3 linked regions of the Arabidopsis thaliana genome follow. The protein of the gene in region 2 interacts with the protein of the main gene of each other region in a pairwise test. Each region holds a gene or a part of one and is shown on either strand. Other genes may lie near its edges. The genes, in order: AT1G19450, AT4G18205 and AHA10.

The links.
Region 1: the proteins of AT4G18205 (region 2) and AT1G19450 interact in a protein complementation assay, tested with the Arabidopsis thaliana proteins (one large-scale study listed by BioGRID).
Region 3: the proteins of AT4G18205 (region 2) and AHA10 interact in a protein complementation assay, tested with the Arabidopsis thaliana proteins (one large-scale study listed by BioGRID).

Annotation. Positions count from the first base shown.
Region 1 is NC_003070.9:6,731,668-6,739,209, forward strand, and holds the start of AT1G19450 (Major facilitator superfamily protein), read right to left. Parts: upstream 3,358-7,542; 5' UTR 2,967-3,357; coding exon 2,769-2,966; intron 2,647-2,768; coding exon 2,584-2,646; intron 2,473-2,583; coding exon 2,383-2,472; intron 2,268-2,382; coding exon 2,208-2,267; intron 2,120-2,207; coding exon 2,054-2,119; intron 1,965-2,053; coding exon 1,899-1,964; intron 1,804-1,898; coding exon 1,728-1,803; intron 1,620-1,727; coding exon 1,555-1,619; intron 1,470-1,554; coding exon 1,377-1,469; intron 1,301-1,376; coding exon 1,220-1,300; intron 1,138-1,219; coding exon 1,053-1,137; intron 955-1,052; coding exon 908-954; intron 843-907; coding exon 780-842; intron 686-779; coding exon 626-685; intron 536-625; coding exon 470-535; intron 374-469; coding exon 314-373; intron 232-313; coding exon 4-231; 3' UTR 1-3. Other genes in the region: AT1G19460 (Galactose oxidase/kelch repeat superfamily protein), read left to right, coding at 6,817-7,542.
Region 2 is NC_003075.7:10,069,525-10,077,066, forward strand, and holds AT4G18205 (Nucleotide-sugar transporter family protein), read left to right. Parts: upstream 1-4,186; 5' UTR 4,187-4,325; coding exon 4,326-4,356; intron 4,357-4,438; coding exon 4,439-5,541; 3' UTR 5,542-5,846; downstream 5,847-7,542. Other genes in the region: PUP8 (purine permease 8), read left to right, coding at 194-224, 297-1,450; PUP7 (purine permease 7), read left to right, coding at 2,251-2,281, 2,364-3,505; AT4G18203 (uncharacterized protein), read right to left, coding at 3,220-3,396, 3,928-3,975, 4,127-4,135; PUP10 (purine permease 10), read left to right, coding at 6,651-6,681, 6,830-7,542.
Region 3 is NC_003070.9:5,899,606-5,907,147, forward strand, and holds the start of AHA10 (autoinhibited H[+]-ATPase), read left to right. Parts: upstream 1-4,452; coding exon 4,453-4,518; intron 4,519-4,605; coding exon 4,606-4,725; intron 4,726-4,812; coding exon 4,813-4,911; intron 4,912-5,000; coding exon 5,001-5,138; intron 5,139-5,234; coding exon 5,235-5,369; intron 5,370-5,459; coding exon 5,460-5,639; intron 5,640-5,737; coding exon 5,738-5,944; intron 5,945-6,045; coding exon 6,046-6,165; intron 6,166-6,286; coding exon 6,287-6,406; intron 6,407-6,494; coding exon 6,495-6,617; intron 6,618-6,730; coding exon 6,731-6,835; intron 6,836-6,960; coding exon 6,961-7,105; intron 7,106-7,219; coding exon 7,220-7,381; intron 7,382-7,470; coding exon 7,471-7,542. Other genes in the region: RLP3 (receptor like protein 3), read right to left, coding at 1,564-3,834. UniProt on the Arabidopsis thaliana protein: The plasma membrane H(+) ATPase of plants and fungi generates a proton gradient that drives the active transport of nutrients by H(+)-symport. The resulting external acidification and/or internal alkinization may mediate growth responses.

The sequences.
Region 1 (7,542 bases), on a different chromosome or scaffold from region 2:
TGATCATCTGAACAAAGCTTGGATCTCTTCAAGCGTTTTTCCTTTAGTCTCAGGAACCCAAAGACTCACAAAAACCACAGTGAATCCACAAACCAAAGCGTAGAGAGTGAAAGTTCCCCCACTGCTCCATGCTAACAGCATATTTGCAGTCATTGTCACTAACCATGACACGAACCAGTTTAACAAAGTTGCTATACTTCCGGCTAAACCCTTTATATTCACTGGCAGAATCTGTTTTACCAACATTAATCAGTATTAAAATTTCCAGTTGTGATTTTAACACTAAGGAACACCATGTTTTAATATTTAGTACCTCAGACATAATCAGCCATGGAATTGGTCCCATTCCTAGAGAGCAAGAAATAACCATAGCCTGTAAATAACTCAGCCAGATTTAGTACACATACCGGGAAATATGTAAATAAGAAAGTATCTTTCGTTGTGTGAATGTATAAAACAAACGACTTACCACAACTCCAACTACGGAAACCATGCTTAGAATGTTGTACATGTTGGAATCAGGTGATACAAATTCCTAACAAAAGATTAAGAAACCTCAATATCTCATAATTAGAGTGACACTCTTACATTGTACAAGTAGAGATGTCAAAAGTTAAAATGTTACCTTAAGGTAAAATGCAACTGCTACAATCACGAGGCTTATCGTCATTCCGATAGAAGAGATCTGCATTTCAGAAGAAAATGCTAATATTATGTTATGCATACATAAATTCTTCAGACTTTGTAAGATATACAGATGAATCTCAAATATTCTTCACCATGAGTAGAAGCCGACGACCTGCTTTATCCACCAACCATGTCGCTATCCCAGTCGCCACTACCTGGTATAGAATGAACAACGGTTAGAAAAATCGAATCTAATGTCTCCTAGATTGAAATGATATACCTGAACAACGCCAACTCCAAATGTCGCCACATTACTTGATGTCACCCCTTAGTGAATGATAATTGCAAACAAAGAAGCATAGTTAGAAATCTGTTTATTCTATCTTAGGACCATTCCAATAATCAAAAAAAACATATGACTCTACCTGCAGATTCAAAAATTGTACTCGAATAGAACAAGACACCATTGATTCCTCCAAGTTGTTGAAGTGCAAGCAGCCCTATACCAACCTGTAACACAGATTACAGGAAAAGAGTGAGTTTCTCTCATGTGTTGACAAAATTAGTTCAAGAGAGGTAAGAGAAATTGCACCATCAGTGGGAAATAGTATCTCCTGCGCTTGAGGTCTACAAACCGAACTGCAGAACGTTTGCTAGATGATGCCACAGATCTCTGCAGAGTGCATAAAATGAAAATTTTAAATAAGACAAGAAATCACATCAAAGCATTTCTTCAGTTTAGTCACTACCTTGATTTCATTAACCTCAACGGTAATATCAGTCTCAAATCCACGAAGAACTTGCAATGAAGTTTCGAAATCATCTGTCAAACCCATCTTTGCCTACAATTACAACACCAAAACAATTTAGGATAACCAATAATGCAACAAACTCAACAATATAAGCAATACGGTTGTAGAGGCATACCAACCACCGAGGAGATTCAGGAATGAAAAAAAGACCCGGTATCAACAATGTACATGGCAATACTCCTAAACATAAAGAAGACAAACAAGAAAGTGATTAGACTGTATCGATCAAAATAAAATAAAAACAGGTATAGTTTCTCCCAAGTCAAGTCAAAATGTTTTGTGAGTTACCCAAAACTGCAAGAATTCTCCATGGAACAAAGAGACCGAGTAAATACGCCAGCATTATCCCAATTGTTACAGAAAGCTATAAACACAAAACATTTATTGTTTAGTGTTAACATATGAATCAGCTCATAAAATGAAACATAAAAATAGTGAAGCTAACTAAACATGACAAACCTGGTTAACTGAACCTAAGGCTCCTCTCATGGTCTGTGGAGCGATCTCAGCTATATATACGGGAACCTAAAATCGCAATTCAAAGGTGTGTAATTATATTGATCACTCCAAACAAACATTGCTGAAATCAAAGAAATAGTTGAATCTAATATTACCGTATAGGAGATAATCCCAACTCCGAAGCCTTCTAACAATCTTCCCATGTAAAGAAAAGAAGTATCCTAAACAAAAACCAAGAACAACAACAACTTAGTAGGTATAGAGATAAGCCAAGAATATCAGAAACTTTGAGAACACCAAAACACTCACTTTTGCAAATGATATCGAAAGCCATCCAATAATATTGGGAATTGCAGCAATCATCAGAGACTGTCAAAAGGAAAGAAAAACACAGTAAATAAGATACAACAAGAAAGAAGATGTTACATGACAAATTGTCACAGATGAGAACATGTTTTAGAATCAAGAAACAAAACTATTATACCCCTTTCCGTCCAACGTATTCAGCAATCTGACCACTCGCAATTGCTCCAACCATAGCACCCACATTGGATAGAGACCCAAACACAGAGTACTAAAACATCAAACAAGAAACCTAAAAGTCAGAAAATTACAGAACAAGAGTCTTTACAAAAAAAAAAAAAAAAAACAGAACAGTTCTTAAATAAAGATGGGACCTTCATACCTCTGATACAGTTAAACCAAGATCCTTAGTAATGGCAGCTTGAGTTGGTGAGGAATAACCACACTGAAAACAAAAAGATAAATCAAAATCAACACTTTCTTAGTCAATTTGAGCAAAAGCAGAGAAATCCACATTGATAAAAAAAAATATAAGAAAGTTGAGATATTTGTTTATGTTGTTCTTACAGTGAATCCGAATTGAATAGGACCAAGAGCAACAATCAAAACACAAGCTAAGACAGAAATTGAGCTGTCTCGAATAACTTGAGACGATTCCAACATACTAGATTGTCTCGAACCCATCCGATACCAACTTCCTGTGTGTAAGAACGGTCGCCGAAGATCATTTCTTCCCTCTTCCGTATTATCATCCCTAAAACTCATCTTTTTGTTTTTCTTAAATCTACAAAACAATCGTAATCTACAGAGAGAAAAAAGCACGAATCTTTCGGAGGATAAAAATGTCGATCCTAAACTAGAAAATGCAGAAGAAGAAAAATACGAAATTTGAGGTAGGATTTGAGTTTTGGGTGAATTCAAAAAGATGTTAGACTTGTTTTGCTTAAGAATTCTTCATGGTTTGTAAAAATTGAGCCTTTGCGTGGAGAGACGCAGACTGTTTCATAGTTTTCCACCTCAGAACGCGTCGCCTAACATCGATTTATAGAATTCGTAAAGGGACCTGTTTTTTTTCTTCTCTGTCGACAAAAAAAAACTTAATTTAAAAACATTTTAATTTGTAATTAAATAAGATATCGTTCATTTTAAATTCTTTTATATCAAATTTAACTATTGTTTTTTTTTGTCTGATTGTCGTTTTCGAGTTATTTTTTGCGCAAAGATAATTTTTTGAATCATTGTCCCATGTTCGCTCACATATACAAGCATTTGTAGTCGCTTTGAATCATTTATTTTCTTCTACATACTTCTACATACTCATTAGTATTATAATGAGCTTTTACAATGTAACTAATTACGCAACAATACTATAAAATTGTGGTACAGGCTGAGACTAAACTATATTGTATTTTTAAGAAAATGTTTTTCTTTTTGTTTAGGTAAACTGTCTACTTCAAAGATATTTTTTGGTAGGAATAATAATTAAAACTTCCCATATTAGAATACGAGGCCACTAGACATTCCTTTTGACAACAAAAAGTGACAATGTCATTTTATATTTTAGCACTTATAATAATAGTTAGCATGCATTATAGAATTCATATTTAGATGTTGTCCTAACTCTTAACAAAATCAGAATAACAATATTGTGGGAGAAAATTTAGCTAAAACTTCAATTTAGGACAAATAATAAGATTATTAAAGTAACACTTAAATATGAATATAATGCTCGAATCCTCCTCTACTTTTTAGCATTTTCGCTACCTCGTTGATATTGATGTCGATAGGTCACAAATATGCAAGTGACATTATTTTATTAGATAAACTCGAATAATTATAGTTTTTGTTTTCTAGTATATGAAAAATATATGGATGTCATTAATTTCGAATACTTCAATAAATATAAATATTTATTCAGATACAACATTATTTATTTATTTTCAATATTTAAAATCTTTGAGAATACGACATGTTATTTCAATGTTTACCAATAACATCCTACTATATTATTTAGGAAATACATTTTAAATATAACTTTATTTTTTTGTAAGTAATTACATAGGTATGTCATTAGAAATAAGATTTTAAAGAGTAAATTAATTTATTTCTTTAAAAATTAAAAGTCAAATACTAATTTAATTAATTAAATTTAACTCAAAAACGAAATACATTATTAATTTCCAAAAAAGTAACCAATTAAAATCAACAAATTAGATTTGATATCTAAATTATCATATTAATTTTTTATTAATTATTATAGTTCACCTCTCATCTTTATATGATTCTATTTTTGCAAAAAAATAATATCATCGTTATAAAAAAATAATTAGAATTTTTTCGCATATGCCACAATTTGAATTTTTAAAAACGAATATAAACTGTTCAATACATGAAAAAATACTATAACGGGTCAAAAGTAGATTTAAGAAATTTTTTTACTGAGTACTGTGTCATAGTTTGAATATTTATATTCAATTTCATACATATTATTTTAAAATTTATAATCTTATATACTACAATAATTAATAACATATTAGATTTTTTAATGTGTATGATGTGATTCAATTTTTAATACAAGCTGAAAAATCCTACAATTGACGGGTTTAAATCAATATTAATACAAGATGATATACTATATGTGAAACTTTAAAATTAACAATCAAAATACAAGTATATAATTTTAAACACTAAACAATATAAATAATATCAACAAAACATATACAACTCGCAGTTTACTATACATTTAAAATCAAATAAAATAATATCATATATTTATAATCAACTTTACAATAAAAGTTTTTAGTTTAACTAAAATATAAGACTACCTGCTGTATAATGCAAGTTAAAATTATAAATAAGCCGATTACCATCACGATGGATGTACCATCTCACATACACACCTATCAAAAACTTAAAACCTTTCAAAACCTCTTGGTATATTCAAATTAGGATTCTTCATTCATGGAATCATTATTCCAAGGGTTTTGGGATGTCTTATGAAATGATTTTGGCAGAAGAAGATGTAAATTTTTTTGAATAAAAAGTAGTCACCAAAACATATGTTTTATTGGGATTTTTTAGATAATTAAATCAGAGAATAGGGCTAGGCATATGAGTAACCCATTCGAGTTCGGGTATAACCCGTTCGGATTTGGGATTAATGGGTATATGATTTACTACCTAATAGAATAATTCTAAATATTCGGTTCGGATCGCGTCCATTTGGGTTTAGGTCAGTTTGGATAAAAAGTTTCAGGCCCTAAAAATACTCAAAAAATAGAAACAGGTATTTTGTATGTAGATAATGCGTCTCCAAACAACAAAAACTTTTAAATTTATTAAATTTTAATAAATTTAATTATATTTAAATATATTTTACTAAAGTTTGACAAATATAACAAATAATTTTGACAAACATAGCAAACATAATAAAGTATACAATTTAATTTATACAAAATATTAATGTTCGTGCTGTATAGCACGAGTTATGATCTAGTTATGTTTTAAAACATAAGTTTAGATGACATTTTCAATGTTTACCAATAACATTATGTTTTAAAACATAAATTTAGATGACATTTGATGTTGTATTGGTGAATAAAATATATGTATTGGAAAAAAAAAAAAAAATCTCCACAAAAGTCATTCTCTCTTTTTTCTAAAATTCATTGAAGATATATTTTTAAAAAAAAAGAAAAACAGAGTGTTATTTACAGATGAATGAATTGGGAAACATTTAAGTAATTTTTTAAATATGATACGTATGTAACCTGTTAGTTGTTAATCTTCTTAGTTGTTAATAACGTCGGCATAATTGAGATCCCAAAATCACACAAGTTACATACACGAGGTTTTATTTTTTTAAAGAACTTCTAAATCGAGATAAATCTATGGTCGATAGAGGCAACGACAAGAAAGGCCAGTAGATATCACACCAAACACGTCTTATTGGGGTTATGATTCATAGGCTCTGATTCATCGTTCAACATATAATAATATTCTGTTGACCCAACAATGCAGATTCGTATATTTTCACTGTTCTGGGTCTTTTGTCTCTTTCTCATCTCTCACGTGTTAGTGCTTACATCTCTGTGTAGCCGTTTCCGGATCCCGACACAAGCATTCTCTTCCATTGTCCCCACTTTGCTTAGTTGGTCTGATACTTTTATCGGTTTTAATATCAATAAGTAACACGATTTTCACCATTTAACGAGTACATGCAACACGATTGTACATGTCACATTTATCTTGGCATAAATCTATCTATGATCGTTAACACGATTATACATTAAAAACTTTGGATCAATTATTTTTTATTTTCTCTTTTATTGTTGGGAGTAGTGTTCTAATTGATTTAATAATTTTTATTGAGAATAATAATCGAATTTAAAATGCAGTGTGTATTAGACAATTAGTGGACTTATAGAGGCTAATTTAAGTAACCAAATTTGGGCTTTAATAAGGATCCATACTCTTCGGCTTGAAAGCCCACATTGTAAAGTTAAAACACTATATCAGGCTCTGTTTTCATTATGGCTATAAATACACGAGTTTTTCCAGAAACCAAATCAGGCTCTGTTTTCATTATTTCTCGCTGCTGACTTCACAGACGACGATGGCTAATATCTCTGAAATTTCCGGCGACTCTAATGACGGCGGAGATCCAAACAAGAAACCAGAAGAACAAGTTTTGAGAAGAAGTAGAAGAATCGCGACAAGAAACGAGAATCAAAACAAGAAGCCCAAGGAGGAAGAAGAAAAAGATAATCGCTCGGTATCTTTTCCAATTCCAAACGAGCTCACGGAAGCTTGCGTCGCACTCATCCGGAAATGTGATTACCCTAGTCTATCTTCCGTCTCAAGTTACTTTTTCAATCTCATCGCTTCGTCAGAACTCTACGAAACGCGTTCGCGCCTCGGTCTTTCCGAAACCTTTCTTTACGCCGCCATCCGATTCCCTGACACAAATCCCCCAAACTGGTACATTCTCCATCGAAACAAGGTTTCTTCTTTACGTTTGAGCAAACTCGAATCACTTCCACCTGTGCCTTATGGATGTTCTGTCGTCACAATCGGTCAAGAGATGTATGTAATCGGTGGACTCCTCGATGTAAGACGTTTACAGTTGATGACTCTCATCGACTGCAGAACTCACAAATGTCGCTCGCTTCCGAAAATGAAAAGGGGTCGTTACCATGCAGCCGCCGGAGTATTCGACGGAAAGATTTACGTAATCGGAGGTTTCAGGATGAGAAAACCGGATGCTGAATGGATTGAAGTGTTTGATCTAAAGAAACAGATTTGGGAATCTTTGCCTGGTCCGTACCCTAAAACTAGTATG
Region 2 (7,542 bases):
TCACCAAACTCAGCCTACTTTAACAACGTTGTGTATAAGAAGTTTTCTTAAAACCGCCAATTAAAAGGTTTCAATAATTCAAAGTCAACGGTAAACATCTTTACAGAAATATGATGCACTTGTTCCCACCAACCTTCATATATATAAAAGCTTTACCAAAACTCTGTTTGTGGGAAGTCCTCTTAGAGTGGTCATGGAAATAACTCAAGTAATCTATGTCAATGGTAAGCAAGATGCATCTCGTAGTGTAGATTACTTGATTCTTTTCGCTAACCTGTTGTTTTTGATGTTTTCAGATCATAACAACATAGAAGCAAACCTAACAGGTCAGGAGGAAATGAATACCACCATGGAAATCGAATCTTCGTCCGTACCTCAATCGAAGAACTATAAGAAATGGCTTCGTATTTCCATTTACGTGTTCTTTGTCCTTGCTTGCCAAGCACTTTCTACAATTTTGGGCAGAGTTTACTATGAAAATGGTGGGAAGAGTACATGGATGGGAACACTTGTCCAACTAATCGGCTTCCCTGTTCTGTTTCTCTTCCGCTTCTTTTCCCAAACCAAAAATCCCAAACCAACAGAAGCAGATTTCAGAAAGTTCTCTTCCTTCACCATTCTTGGATCAGTTTACATCGTTACTGGACTATTAGTGTCTGCTAACTCTTATATGTCCTCTGTTGGTTTACTATACTTACCAGTTTCTACTTTCTCCCTCATCTTGGCCTCACAATTGGCCTTCACTGCCTTCTTCTCATATTTTCTAAACTCGCAGAAGTTCACACCTTTCATTGTGAATTCTCTGTTTCTCCTTACTATTTCCTCTGCCCTCCTCGTGGTCAACACTGATTCGGAAAACACAGCAAAAGTGTCTAGAGTAAAATATGTGATAGGGATAATATGTACCATTGGTGCTTCTGCTGGGATTGGATTGCTGCTATCCCTGGTACAACTGATCCTCAGGAAGGTTTTAAAGAAGCAAACATTCTCAACGGTCACTGACTTGGTCGCTTACCAATCTCTAGTTGCAAGCTGTGTGGTTCTCATAGGACTTTTCGCAAGCGGGGAGTGGAAAACTTTAACAAGTGAGATGGAAAACTACAAACTGGGGAAAGTGCCATACGTTATGACTTTGGCCTCGATAGCTATTTCCTGGCAAGTCTACACCATTGGCGTCGTGGGACTGATCTTTGAGTCATCTTCTGTGTTCTCCAATTCCATAACTGCTGTGGGATTGCCTATAGTTCCAGTTGTAGCAGTGATTGTTTTCCATGATAAAATGAACGCGTCAAAGATCTTCTCCATCATTTTAGCTATCTGGGGATTCATTTCATTTGTCTATCAGCACTACCTCGACGAAAAGAAGTTGAAGACTAGCCACACAAGTCCTGTAGGAGATCCTCATCTACTACCTGCTGAGGAAGGTCACACAAACATACATAGTGTATGATCAAAACATATTTCCAGTGTAAAGCCAATGTATCTTTGTACAGTTTGAGCATAGATATAAAAACGTGTATCTCTAGTCAATCATAAGTAACTGATAAGTTTTGTACATAAGATACCAATAGTTCGGATCTTTTTTACTTCTATATACCGGAGATACCCATAACTTAAAGATGCAAATGCAATACTCTGCTTTGTCATTTTGCAATGCATTTGAATCACCAAAAAACAAGAGCAAACATCGATAGCAGAGAGGCAAATAGGCTAAAGCATCCTTGGAAAACCAGAGCTTTGAACAAAAAAAAAGAAACAAGTGAACAAAAATAATACCCACTTACCTGGAAGCCACTGACATAACAAATAACCAATGTAGTGACTTGAACAGTGCCTTGTAAAAAGACTCCTTAAAATACCAAAAACGTATACTCCAGGAGCTTGGATTCTTGTATCTTTGTTGACTTCTGATTAAACGTCAGTAGACACTGAGAAAATAAAAAAAATTCTCGTAGAGCCGCCATTCAAAAGTTTCAAGAATTCCACAAGTCAAGTGTAAGCAAATAAGAAAAGTCACCGGTCAACATGAGACTACTAAATAATGATACTGCTACTGTCATCTATCGCCTGCCCCATCCATATAATACGATTTACTAAAAGCCTGCCATGTTTGATAATGCAACTTGTGTAGGGTATTTAGATGTTTTTTTGTAATACCATCAATGTGTGTTTAAAGAAAGGCCTCTTGTGTATCTGCACGACATCTCAAACAAAACCAATCAATAAAAACAAGAAACAATCTTCTTTCTCATGGACAGATCTCAAGAACACTATGCCAATGGTAAGAAGAAGCACCTGATAAAGTTAGATCCTTGAATTCATTTTTTCATGAGATATAATAAACATGAGTGTTAATTTTTCAGGTGACCAGAACTTAGAAGCAAACCTTATAGATCATGAGGTGGTAACTGAATCATCATCATCAGCTGTGCCTCAAACCGAGAACTATAAAAGGTGGCTTCGTGTCTCCATATACGTAATCTTTGTCCTCTTTTGCCAGCCACTAGCTACAATTCTGGGTAGATTGTACTATGAAAATGGAGGAAATAGCACATATGTGGTAACACTTCTTCAACTCATTGGCTTCCCTGTACTGGTTCTGTTCCGCTTCTTTTCTCGAATCAGGCAACCCAAATCAACAGATACAAATTTCAGTCAGTCCCCTTCCTTCACCACCCTTGCATCGGTTTACTTGTGCACTGGACTGCTAGTGTCCGCTTATGCTTATTTGTCTGCAGTAGGGTTGCTCTACTTACCAGTCTCTACTTTCTCCCTCATCTTGGCCTCACAGTTGGCCTTCACTGCCTTTTTCTCATATTTCCTTAACTCGCAAAAGTTCACTCCTTTGATAGTCAGTTCTTTGCTTCTCCTCACTGTATCCTCTGCTCTTCTTGTGGTCAACACTGATTCAGAAAACTCAACTAATGTATCTAGAGTACAGTATGTGATCGGGTTCATATGTACCATCGGTGCTTCCGCTGGGATTGGACTGTTACTATCTCTGATACAAATGCTCTTCAGGAAAGTTTTCACGAAGCATACATCCTCAGCAGTCACGGACTTGGCCATTTACCAGTCTCTAGTTGCGAGTTGTGTAGTTCTCATAGGACTTTTTGCAAGTGGAGAGTGGGAAACTTTGCCAAGTGAGATGAGAAACTACAAACTCGGGAAAGTGTCATATGTTTTGACTTTAGCCTCGGCAGCTATTTCCTGGCAAGTCTACACTCTTGGTCTTGTGGGATTGATCTTCGAGTCATCCTCTGTGTTCTCCAATTCCATAACAGCTGTGGGATTGCCTATAGTTCCAGTTGCGGCAGTGATAGTTTTCCATGATAGAATGGACGCATCAAAAATCTTCTCCATTATTTTAGCTATCTGCGGCTTCCTTTCATTCGTCTATCAGCACTACCTCGACGAAAAGAAGTTGAATACTAGCCACACAAGTGCTGTAGGAGATCTTCATCTACCTGTTGAGGAAGGTCACACAAACATACAAAGTGTGTGATCAAAGCATATTTCCAGTATAAAGCCAATGTATCTTTCTTTTTTTCCCCTCAAAGGCCAAAGCCAATGTATCTTTGTACAGTTTGAGCATAAAAAACGTGTAACGCTACTTTGCAAACTAGTCAGTCATAATAGCTAATAAGTTTTGTACATATGATACCAATAATTTCAGAATATTTTTCTTCTATATATACCAATAAGTTTTCTTAAAGATGCAAATGCAATACTCTGCTTTGTAATTTTGCAATGCATTTGAAACACCGAATCAAGAGCAAACAACGAAGTCAGAGAGACAAATAGGCTAAAACAGAGCTTTGAGCAAAAAAAAAAAACAAGTGAACAGATATAATACCCACTTACTTGGAAGCCACTGACATAACAGATAAACAATGTAGTGACTTGCAACAAAACTCCTTAAAATACCAAAAACGTATACTCTAGGAGCTTGGCTTCTTGTATCTTTGTTGACTTCTGATTTAACGTCAATAGACACTGAGGAAAAAGAGTTCTCTTAGAGCCGCCATTCAAAAGTTTTAAGAATTTTAAGTCAAGTGTAAGCAAATAAGAAAGGTCAATGGTCAGCATGAGACTACTAAATTATGATACTGCTGTCATCTATCACCTGACCCATCTTTATTATTATACACAAATTAGTAAAAGTCTGCCAAGTTTGATTAGTGCAACTTGTATCTGGGGTATTTAGTTACTATAATAAATATCATTTTGTGTATAAAGAAAGGTCTCTTCTGTATCTAAAAGACATATCAAACGAAAGAAATCAATAAACACAATATTCTTTCTTCCAAATTTTCTCATTTCTCATGGGCATATCTCAAGTACACTATTGCAATGGTAAGCAAAAGGTACCTGATGACGTTAGATCATTTGATCCTCTTTCGATGAAATATAATAACCACGAGTGTTAATTTTTCAGGTGACCAGAACTTAGAAGCAAACCTTCTAGATCATGAGGAAACTGAATCATTTTCAGTACCTCAAACGAAGAACTGTAAGAGGTGGCTCCGTGTCTCCATATACGCAATCTTTGTCATCTTCTGCCAACCACTTGCTACAGTTCTGGGTAGACTGTACTATGAAAATGGAGGGAAAAGCACATATGTGGTAACACTTCTTCAACTCATTGGCTTCCCTGTACTGATTCTCTTCCGCTTCTTTTCTCGAATCAGGCAACCCAAATCAACAGATACAAATTTCAGTCAGTCCCCTTCCTTCACCACCCTTGCATCGGTTTACTTGTGCACTGGACTGCTAGTGTCTGCTTATGCTTATTTGTCTGCAGTTGGGTTGCTTTACTTACCAGTCTCTACTTTCTCCCTCATCTTGGCCTCACAGTTGGCCTTCACTGCCTTTTTCTCATATTTCCTTAACTCGCAAAAGTTCACTCCTTTGATAGTCAATTCTTTGTTTCTCCTTACGGTTTCCTCTGCCCTCCTCGTGGTCAACACTGATTCAGAAAACACAACAAATGTATCTAGAGTACAATATGTGATTGGGTTCATCTGTACCATTGGTGCTTCCGCTGGGATTGGATTGGTACTATCTCTGATACAACTGCTCTTCAGGAAAGTTTTCACGAAGCATACATCCTCAGCAGTCCTGGACTTGGCCAATTACCAGTCTCTAGTTGCAACTTGTGTGGTACTCATAGGACTGTTTGCAAGTGGAGAGTGGAGAACTCTGCCAAGTGAGATGAGAAACTACAAACTGGGGAAAGTGTCATATATCTTGACTTTGGCCTCAGCAGCTATTTTCTGGCAAGTATACACTGTTGGTTGTGTGGGATTAATCTTCGAGTCTTCTTCTGTGTTCTCCAATTCCATAACTGCTGTGGGACTGCCTATAGTTCCAGTTGTAGCAGTGATAGTTTTCCATGATAAGATGGATGCATCAAAGATTTTCTCCATCATTTTAGCTATCTGGGGCTTCCTTTCATTTGTCTATCAGCACTACCTCGACGAAAAGAAGTTGAAGACTTGCCAGACAAAACCTGTTGAGGAAGAAACACAAACTTTATGAAACAAGTTGTATCGAAGGTCTCAGAAACAAACATACATAGTTGTACACAGTCATGTAAATAACCTATATAAAGCTTGTATGTGTAATATCCGTAATGGTCCATGCAAATGGGATATGTATGTCGCTCATATTTCAGGTATTTAGAACTTTTATTCAAAAGAGTATTGTGTAATACGAGCAGAGTGATAAAAGCAGTCATTTATTTAACAGAAAAACCATGTCAATTTTGTGATACTTTCATTGTGTGAGTGTGAAACCCGATAAAAATTGACCAGTTAGCATAACTTACAGATATGTCAATGCAATATTCTCCTTTCTAGTTTTGAAATGCACCTAAATCTTGGGAAACAAGAACAAACAGCAAATCATGTATAATGAGAGATAGAAGATAATTTGTCAGATTGGTCCAACATCCTTGGGGAAACAGAGCTTTGAACAAAAAGTAAATGACCAGAAATAATACCATTTTATATAGCGACTTCCTCTGCCGTCCAGTATTAAGTTGTTGCGAATGTCTTCTCTTGAAAAGATAGGCGAGACATAATCTTTAGCTAACGTCAGCATCATCTTGATGGCAAAAACTTCATGACTAGCCATGGAAACCGAAGTGTGTACCCAATCCAAATAAATTTAAAAAGACAAATAACTTTTAGAAATGTCGTCCTCATCAAGATCACAGAATACTACAACTTGTGTACACGTTCATACATATGCGTATGCGTGTTAAGTTTCTATTTGTCTATGCGTATGGGGTTCATGTCCTCCACATAGTTGCAGAAGAAAGTCTGAATGAATATTGCCTACACATAATTTCCTCCTAGACTTAACTCATCTCTTGGTCAACAATAGAGGCATCTTTGCATGTAGAAAGACTACAGATACTAAATTCATGGAAAGAGAAGAGATATGGTTGGCATTTACTGAATGTGGGGCCAAGAACAAAGAAAACTTAGACGGTGACCGATTCCTAATCCCAGAATATATAACTTAGCATATCTCACCCATATCAAAGGAGCAATCACTTGGTAGCATTATCAACCAAGAGAATTGATAATAAGATACGTTAGTTCCTCCTTGTCCATCTCCAAGGTGGTGATTCCACATCCACCATGACGGCGGATCAAGAACTACAAATCATTGGTGAGTAAGCATAAACCAGTTTGTGGTGAACGTCCTATTCTTTCATCTTCAAAAAAAAAAAAGATGGTTATGATATTTTATAATTCAATATATGAAACGATCGACAACAAATAAACTAATTTTTGCGTTATTTTCACTCACTTACCAGTTCGGCAGGGAAAAGAACCAAATCCAACAGTTCAAGATGAAAGAAATTCAGTCAGTAGCAGCCAAGCAGAAGTATCTCACTCTAACACATACAAACGGTGGCTCAGGGTGACTTTATATACATTCTTTGTCATTTCAGGCCAAACAGTTGCTACAATTTTGGGCAGAGTATACTATGACAACGGAGGAAACAGTAAATGGCTAGCAACGGTAGTTCAACTTGTTGGCTTTCCTGTGCTACTTCCATATTATATCTTGTCATTTAAAACACATGCAACAACTGATAGAGATGGAAAAAGAACCTCACCTAGGAACCGTGTATTGGTTTACGTAGTGCTTGGACTTCTTGTAGGAGCAGATTGCTATCTGTACTCCATTGGACTTCTTTACTTACCCGTTTCTACCTATTCCCTGATCTGTGCATCTCAGTTAGCCTTCAATGCTTTCTTCTCTTATTTTCTTAACTCACAAAAACTTACCCCTATCATTTTAAATTCTCTTTTCCTCCTAACTATATCTTCCACCCTACTTGCATTCAATAATGAGGAGACAGACTCCACAAAAGTTACAAAAGGAGAGTATGTCAAAGGTTTCATATGCACCGTTGCTGCGTCTGCTGGTTATGGTCTAGTCTTATCCCTACAACAGCTAGCCTTTCTAAAAGTCCTAAAGAAGCAAAATTTCTCAGAAGTTATGGATATGATAATCTACGTG
Region 3 (7,542 bases), on a different chromosome or scaffold from region 2:
AGGGAAGATTGTTAAATATCAAATATTTAATTCGAAGATTTTTTTTCTAATTATCAAAAACAAACATTAAAATCCAGTGGCAGCCATTGTAAATAAGTCCCAACTATAGGATTTATTTCACAAAATGGCTGCAAAAATGTATATATAGATCATTAGAATCGAAATCTAGGACATATTGCAGAGATTTTAAAATTCATACAAATATATTTTTAAAAGCAATATCAAAAAACAAATCTAAAACTTATTAAAGAATTGATTTTAACTCCATAATTGAATAACACCACCTTAACACCACCTTAATCTAGCCTCGACATATATATAAATATATCTACGGACGGTATTTGAATTTGCTTCAATCAGGGATTTCGATACCCTAGTCGATTTCGAGATCCAACCAACCCTGCTTATCTTATCTCTCAGGTAAATTCCTCGCTCCTTATCTCACTGTTTCTGAAAAATGTCATCGGTTTAGATTAAAGACCTTACTGCGTTTTGATTTCCCAATTTTGAAAATTTGATTTTCCTTAGGTTTTAAAACAGTCTTCGATGATAAAGAAGGCTACGCAGGAGGAGGCTGTGGCTGTGACATCGGTCTTTTGGGACATCAGTATGTGTCTGGTTCTCCCTTGCTTTGATCCTCGTCGGGTCCGTCCGTGTATTAAACGGGTTTTGGAGAATTCTCTTGTCCTCTCAACATCACTGCCGTTGGCGTACTAAAAGACGTCCAGAATGACATCCTGAGATGAGTCTATTCCAGTGGAATCGCTCTTACTAACGTCCCCTAAGGTTGATATCTTTTCATCCTTATGCCTTTCTACAGTAATTGATATTTTCCTTGATGAATAAAGAGTCTCACGTCTTTAGTTTCTGAAACAGGTTCTATGGACATTTTGGATCTTATTTATAGATTTACCGTGAGGATCCCACCTCCAGCTAATATAATGGTCATATCCGATCCGGAACCTGGTCTTTTTGACTTCCTACAAATGATGGGATACAACCTTCTGCAGCCGTTTCCATATAATTCTTTTCAAAACTTTCTTCTGGCAGGTGTGTGTTTGTCCTCTATCTCAGTGTTGTAGAAATAACCAGCAAATCTGTTGCTGAACTGGCTACTTTTTTTTCCCACAGATTCAAGGGCACTTGAGGAGTAGAAGTGCAGTGAAACGGGTGACTCTGCCTGATGGGTTTGCTCACTATGCTGCCGTGATCTTGCTGTCCAACACGAATAGGCTATAAAATTTCACCTCTCATCTCTCAAGTAGAGCACATAAACGGAAGGTAATCAAGCATCCTAGTTACAAGTTGGTGAAATAGTTCTAGACTCCAACTCAACAAACCCACTAGATTCCTTGGTCAGCAAACTCAATCTCCTGTTACGAATTTGGCGCGATAAAACTTTAGTAGCTGGTTTCTATTTTTAATATTATGTCTGCTGGAAATACAAAGAGATTTGAGGATTTTGATAAAGCCTGCACATTCTATCTAGTAATACGCAGCGAGCAGAATCAATCTAAAACCATCACATTTAACCACTGTTTCTTTACAATGTATAGGAAAAAATTACTTACTAATGAAAGCATCGAGTCTAGCAAAAAAGCACCAGTAAAAACAGTAGGAAACAAAAAATCCAGTGGCAACTCCGAGAATAAAAATAAACTTCAACTCCTCTTCATCCTCTGTATCCGCTTTATTTGTGGTTGTAGCAGGCAGCTTTGTTGAAGCCTTGCAGGAAGTCAGCAGTATGCCACCGCACAACAAGGGGTTTCCTTTAAAATTTGCTTGTGGAAAAGTATCAAACTGACTTCCTGTGGGTATTGGCCCGTCGAGACTGTTGTTCACCACGTTGAAATAAGACATATAATGGAGGCTTGTTAGCGACCAAGGAATTCTACCAGATAAGTGATTGTTGGACAGGTCAAGCCTCTCTAAGCTGGTGAGTTTCGACAACTCATGTGGGATGATGCCAGACAAATAGTTATGAGAAAGCTCGAGGACATGAAGAACCTTTAACTGGCCAACTTCGATCGGTATACTTCCTTTCAGGTTATTCCTTCTTATGTAGATCCCAGGTGGGAGGCTAAACAGCTGATTGTATTGCTGATGAGTTGTAACATTATTGGGACTGACAAAAACTGGCAGCTTTAGATAGTTCCTTTCTGTTGCGTCGTAGGCCTTTTGGGACATCAGAGCCTTTAGTTGGAATAAATCCTTCGGCAGCTCTCCTGAAAGAAGATTTTCTGAGAGATCAATATAGAAAAGGTGGGGAAAAGTTCCCAACCAACCAGGAATTGACCCTACAAGCTGGTTGTGGGACAAATCTATGACTGCTAAGCTCTTCAATTTGATTAGCCAAGCTGGTATTTCACCTCTCAGTCCAGATCCACCGCTAGCAAATATTTGGAGATTAGGGAATCCATCTGAGGAAATCAAGTCTTTGTCGCTTGGAAATGTTTCGTTGTAAAAATTCTTTCCTATGAGGAGAGTGGACAGATTCCTGCAGCCCTGCAGAATTCCAAGAGCGCCTGTAATGTTCATCAGTTTATTGTCTGAAAGAGACAAGATCGATAGAGATTCAAGTTCCAGTACGTGAGGAGATATCTGTCCTGTTAACTTATTGCTTGCAAATCTCATCGCTGATAGAGATTTGCAGGAGTGAACCCTCCAAGGGAAATCACCGCTGAAGCTATTGTTTCCGAGATCTAGAATGCTAAGGCTCTGAAAGCGGGAAAAGTCAAGCTCTGATAAGGTTCCTTCCAGCCGATTAAGCCTCAGATTCAACTTGACGAGATTAGTACAATTTGCAAGAGAAGGCGGGACTGTACCAGTGATGTTATTGATATGGAGTTGGAGGCTTTGCAGGCGAGAGAGCTGACCTATGTCCATTGGTATTTCTCCTCCAAGGTGATTGGAGTACAGCTCGAGCGATTTTAGTTTTGTGAGGTGGGTGATGTCATCATTGATCTTTCCAGAAAGATGATTGACGGGTAGAAAGAGTTGCTCGAGCTCCGAAAGATTGTATATGTCACTTGGGATTTCACCAGAGATATTGTTGAAGCCTGCTTGTAGAACACTTAGCTTCAAACATCTCCCTAGTCCTTGCGGAATATTACCGGTAAAATCATTGTAGGAGAAATCCAGTTTGCTGAGCTGCGGTGAACTCTTGCACATAAACGAAGGGATTGAGCCTGTGAAGCTGTTCTTGCTGACATTGAAACTGATTAAATCGAAAGTTCCTTGCATAAAAATAGAACTAGGGAGGATTTCGCCTTGGAGAAAATTGCTTGACAGATCAACTATCCGAATTGGGAAACATCTGTTGCTTCCATTTCTAAATGTTTGTTCAACTGGCAACTCACCATCGAGGCTGTTGTAACTAAGATCAAGAACTTTGAGCTGATCAAGGGCTGAGAGAAAGCCAGATGGGAGATGACCGGAGAGACGGTTATGAGAAAGATTGAGTTGAGAGAGATGGTGGAGACGCAGAACAGACAAAGGGAGTTTACCATATAGTGCTCTAAAGGGCAATGAGATTGCAGTGATGTGGCTATCCGGGGAATCATCGCAGGTTATTCCTTCCCATGAGCAACAATCAATGGATGGGTTCCAATTCAGAGGAGAAACAGAAGAAGAAACGTTTCCAGAGAACCACAGTAGGGATTCTCGATCTTGCGAGTTGCAGAGAGCCTCTGAAACTGCAATAGAAAGGACACTGATGAAAAGAACACACTGAAGGAGTATGCCAATCATGTGAAAACTCAGAGCTTGTATTGGTCTTGTGGTTGATGAAGTTCTCACAAAACCTTTGGCTTTGAATCTCCCCTCATTAGTCATGGTGAGAACAAGAACAAGACGAGAAACAGACAAAGAAGATGAAAAAACTTGTTGGCCAGTGTTGACTAAGGGGGAATAGCCCAGACATAACAAAATTAGACTTGTCGTACATCTTTAATATTTTTTTTATCTGTTTCTTTGTCCTGACGCTTTCATTATTCCTGTGATCAATTTTCTCATACCATTGGTCCATCGTTAATCCTTTCTCAATTTCATTTTCTACGTAACATGAGAGGAGACCAAGTCCTATGAGAACAGTTGACGTAACAGTGGTTGTTAAGTTAAGTTAAAAAGAGGAAGCTAGTGAGAGTGACCGTTAGGTAGAGAAGTGAGATCTTTAACCACTCTTCTTTCTCTCTCTCTCTGCTTTTTTCGTCGTCTTTCACATCTACTGTTCGCAAACTCTCTTATGCTTCCAATAATGGTGATACCAATTGAGACTTGCAGGAGAATCTCCTCTTCTCCACACTCTATCAACTGGTCAGCCATGGAATGGTCGTTTCAGTTTCAATATTCCTGGATTCTTTTTAAGGATTCCTGTTTCTCTTCTGTTCCTGGTATATTCTTAACGACGAAATTAGTATCGGATCCTGGTAATACATTTTGAAGCTTTTAAGTATGGCCGAGGATTTGGACAAGCCATTGCTGGATCCTGATACTTTCAACAGAAAAGGAATTGATTTGGTAAATGTTCCTTTTAACTGTATACTCTTATTAGTACTTGAATTCTTAGTGGCAAAAAAGGGTTTTGACCCTTCTTGAGCTTGACAGGGTATATTGCCGTTGGAGGAGGTTTTTGAATACCTAAGAACATCGCCTCAAGGGCTTTTATCTGGAGATGCTGAAGAGAGATTGAAGATATTTGGTCCTAACAGACTTGAAGAGAAACAGGTAATAAACATGACATTCTTCTTAGTGTTCCTGCCAATTGTCTCTATTATCTTGTGCTAACCGCCATTTAAAACAACAATGATACAGGAGAACAGATTTGTGAAATTCTTAGGTTTTATGTGGAATCCCTTGTCATGGGTTATGGAAGCTGCTGCATTGATGGCCATTGCCCTCGCTAATAGTCAAGTAAGACAACCACAGTTTTGCTACCATTTTCCATCCATGAGTGTTTATGAAAAAGCACCTTGAAACTCATGGTGAAAATGGTATTACAGAGTCTAGGTCCTGACTGGGAAGACTTTACTGGAATCGTTTGCCTTTTGCTGATCAACGCAACAATCAGCTTCTTTGAAGAAAACAATGCTGGGAATGCTGCTGCAGCTCTTATGGCTCGCTTGGCTTTAAAAACAAGAGTATGGCTCTTAACCTTCCTATGAGCCGAAACGGCAAAGTTAGCTGCACTTTAATTTCTATATTACCTTAAATTTGATTTAGATCCACTCTTATAGGTTCTTAGAGATGGACAGTGGCAAGAACAAGATGCTTCTATCTTGGTACCTGGTGATATAATTAGCATTAAGCTTGGGGATATCATTCCTGCAGATGCTCGCCTTCTTGAAGGAGACCCCTTGAAGATTGATCAGGTACGTCCAGAATATCTAGTCTCTATTCTTTTAGTGTGTACTATGTAAAGACTTTCTCTGACAGAATAGTTAAAACATTTATTCCTGCAGTCAGTGCTGACCGGAGAATCACTACCTGTGACCAAGAAGAAGGGTGAACAGGTCTTTTCTGGCTCTACTTGTAAACAAGGTGAAATAGAAGCTGTTGTGATAGCAACTGGATCGACCACCTTCTTTGGAAAAACAGCACGCTTGGTGGACAGTACAGATGTAACTGGACATTTTCAGCAGGTTTTCCTTCTTTCTTTCCCTTTTGGTTGGATAGAACCTGATTAGTGAACTTGGAATCTGGAAAAACCGAATGTAGTCTTTGACATGTTTTCTTCTAGGTTCTTACATCGATTGGAAACTTCTGCATTTGCTCCATTGCTGTTGGAATGGTTCTTGAAATCATTATCATGTTCCCTGTACAACATCGCTCTTACAGAATTGGGATCAATAATCTTCTTGTACTACTGATTGGAGGGATACCCATTGCCATGCCCACTGTACTATCTGTAACGCTTGCCATTGGATCTCATCGACTTTCACAACAGGTACATCCCACTTTAAGCTGCTGAATGCAAAAGGAAGTCCTTTGTTTGTTATTCTTTAAAACAGTTTGTTAGCAATAATCTGTTTCTTCATGTTCTCTAAGGGTGCCATTACGAAAAGAATGACCGCAATAGAGGAAATGGCTGGGATGGATGTACTCTGCTGTGATAAAACTGGAACCCTTACTTTGAACAGTCTTACCGTTGATAAAAATCTTATTGAGGTACCAATACTACAGATGCGACTTGAATTTCATCAAACAATACTGTTAAGAACAGTTGCCTCCTTCTTCATCGTCTTGTTCTCTATTGTTGGTGTTTAAATGTACAAATCCTTCTGCACAGGTATTCGTTGACTACATGGACAAGGATACAATTTTGTTGCTTGCAGGCCGAGCTTCACGACTAGAAAATCAGGATGCTATAGATGCAGCCATTGTTAGCATGCTTGCAGATCCCAGAGAGGTAGAGATGTTTCTCTAACATGAACTCTCTTTTATAAGACTATCACCTTCTTAGAAGTTTTTCTCATACAAAGGTTGTTTATCTGTAGGCACGTGCAAACATTAGAGAAATCCATTTCTTACCATTCAATCCTGTGGACAAACGTACTGCAATAACGTATATTGATTCCGATGGAAAATGGTATCGTGCTACCAAAGGTGCTCCTGAACAGGTATGTATTCTTAGCACTACCAAACTGACTCTAGTTGTAAAAATTTAGTGAATTTTTTTGTACTGTTTCCATGAAAGAAATACCATCACTAATACAACTGCACTATATTATAGGTTCTAAACTTGTGTCAGCAGAAAAATGAGATTGCGCAAAGAGTTTATGCCATCATTGATAGATTTGCAGAAAAAGGTTTGAGGTCTCTTGCGGTTGCTTATCAGGTAACATCATTGTCCTCTCCCTTTCTCTCTTGAGCTGGTTTTATCATAAGTGTACTTTTGAAGAAGAACGTTATGATGACATTAATTACTCCAATTCATTGCATCATTTAAATAATTGTTTCTAGGAAATTCCAGAGAAAAGCAACAACAGTCCTGGAGGACCATGGAGGTTCTGTGGTCTGTTGCCACTGTTTGATCCCCCAAGGCATGATAGCGGTGAAACCATCCTTAGAGCTCTTAGCCTGGGAGTTTGCGTTAAGATGATCACTGGTAAATCTTAACCTTTAGCTTGGTAGGCTTGGCCCGACAGAGAAACACATATACCCTTGTGAGTAAACGGTAAAACTCTGGGAAAATGAATGATAAGTTTGGAACCACATGTAGGTGATCAATTGGCGATTGCAAAGGAGACAGGCAGACGTCTTGGAATGGGAACCAACATGTATCCTTCTTCCTCTTTGTTAGGCCACAACAATGATGAGCATGAAGCCATTCCAGTGGATGAGCTAATTGAAATGGCAGATGGATTTGCTGGAGTTTTCCCTGGTCATATTCTAACACAACCTTAGTACCTACGAAATTTAAGATTTGCTCTCATTTCTAATCCCAAATTTTTTTTGTCTCTCATGTTACAGAACATAAGTATGAGATTGTAAAGATTTTACAAGAAATGAAGCATGTGGTTGGAATGACCGGAGATGGTGTGA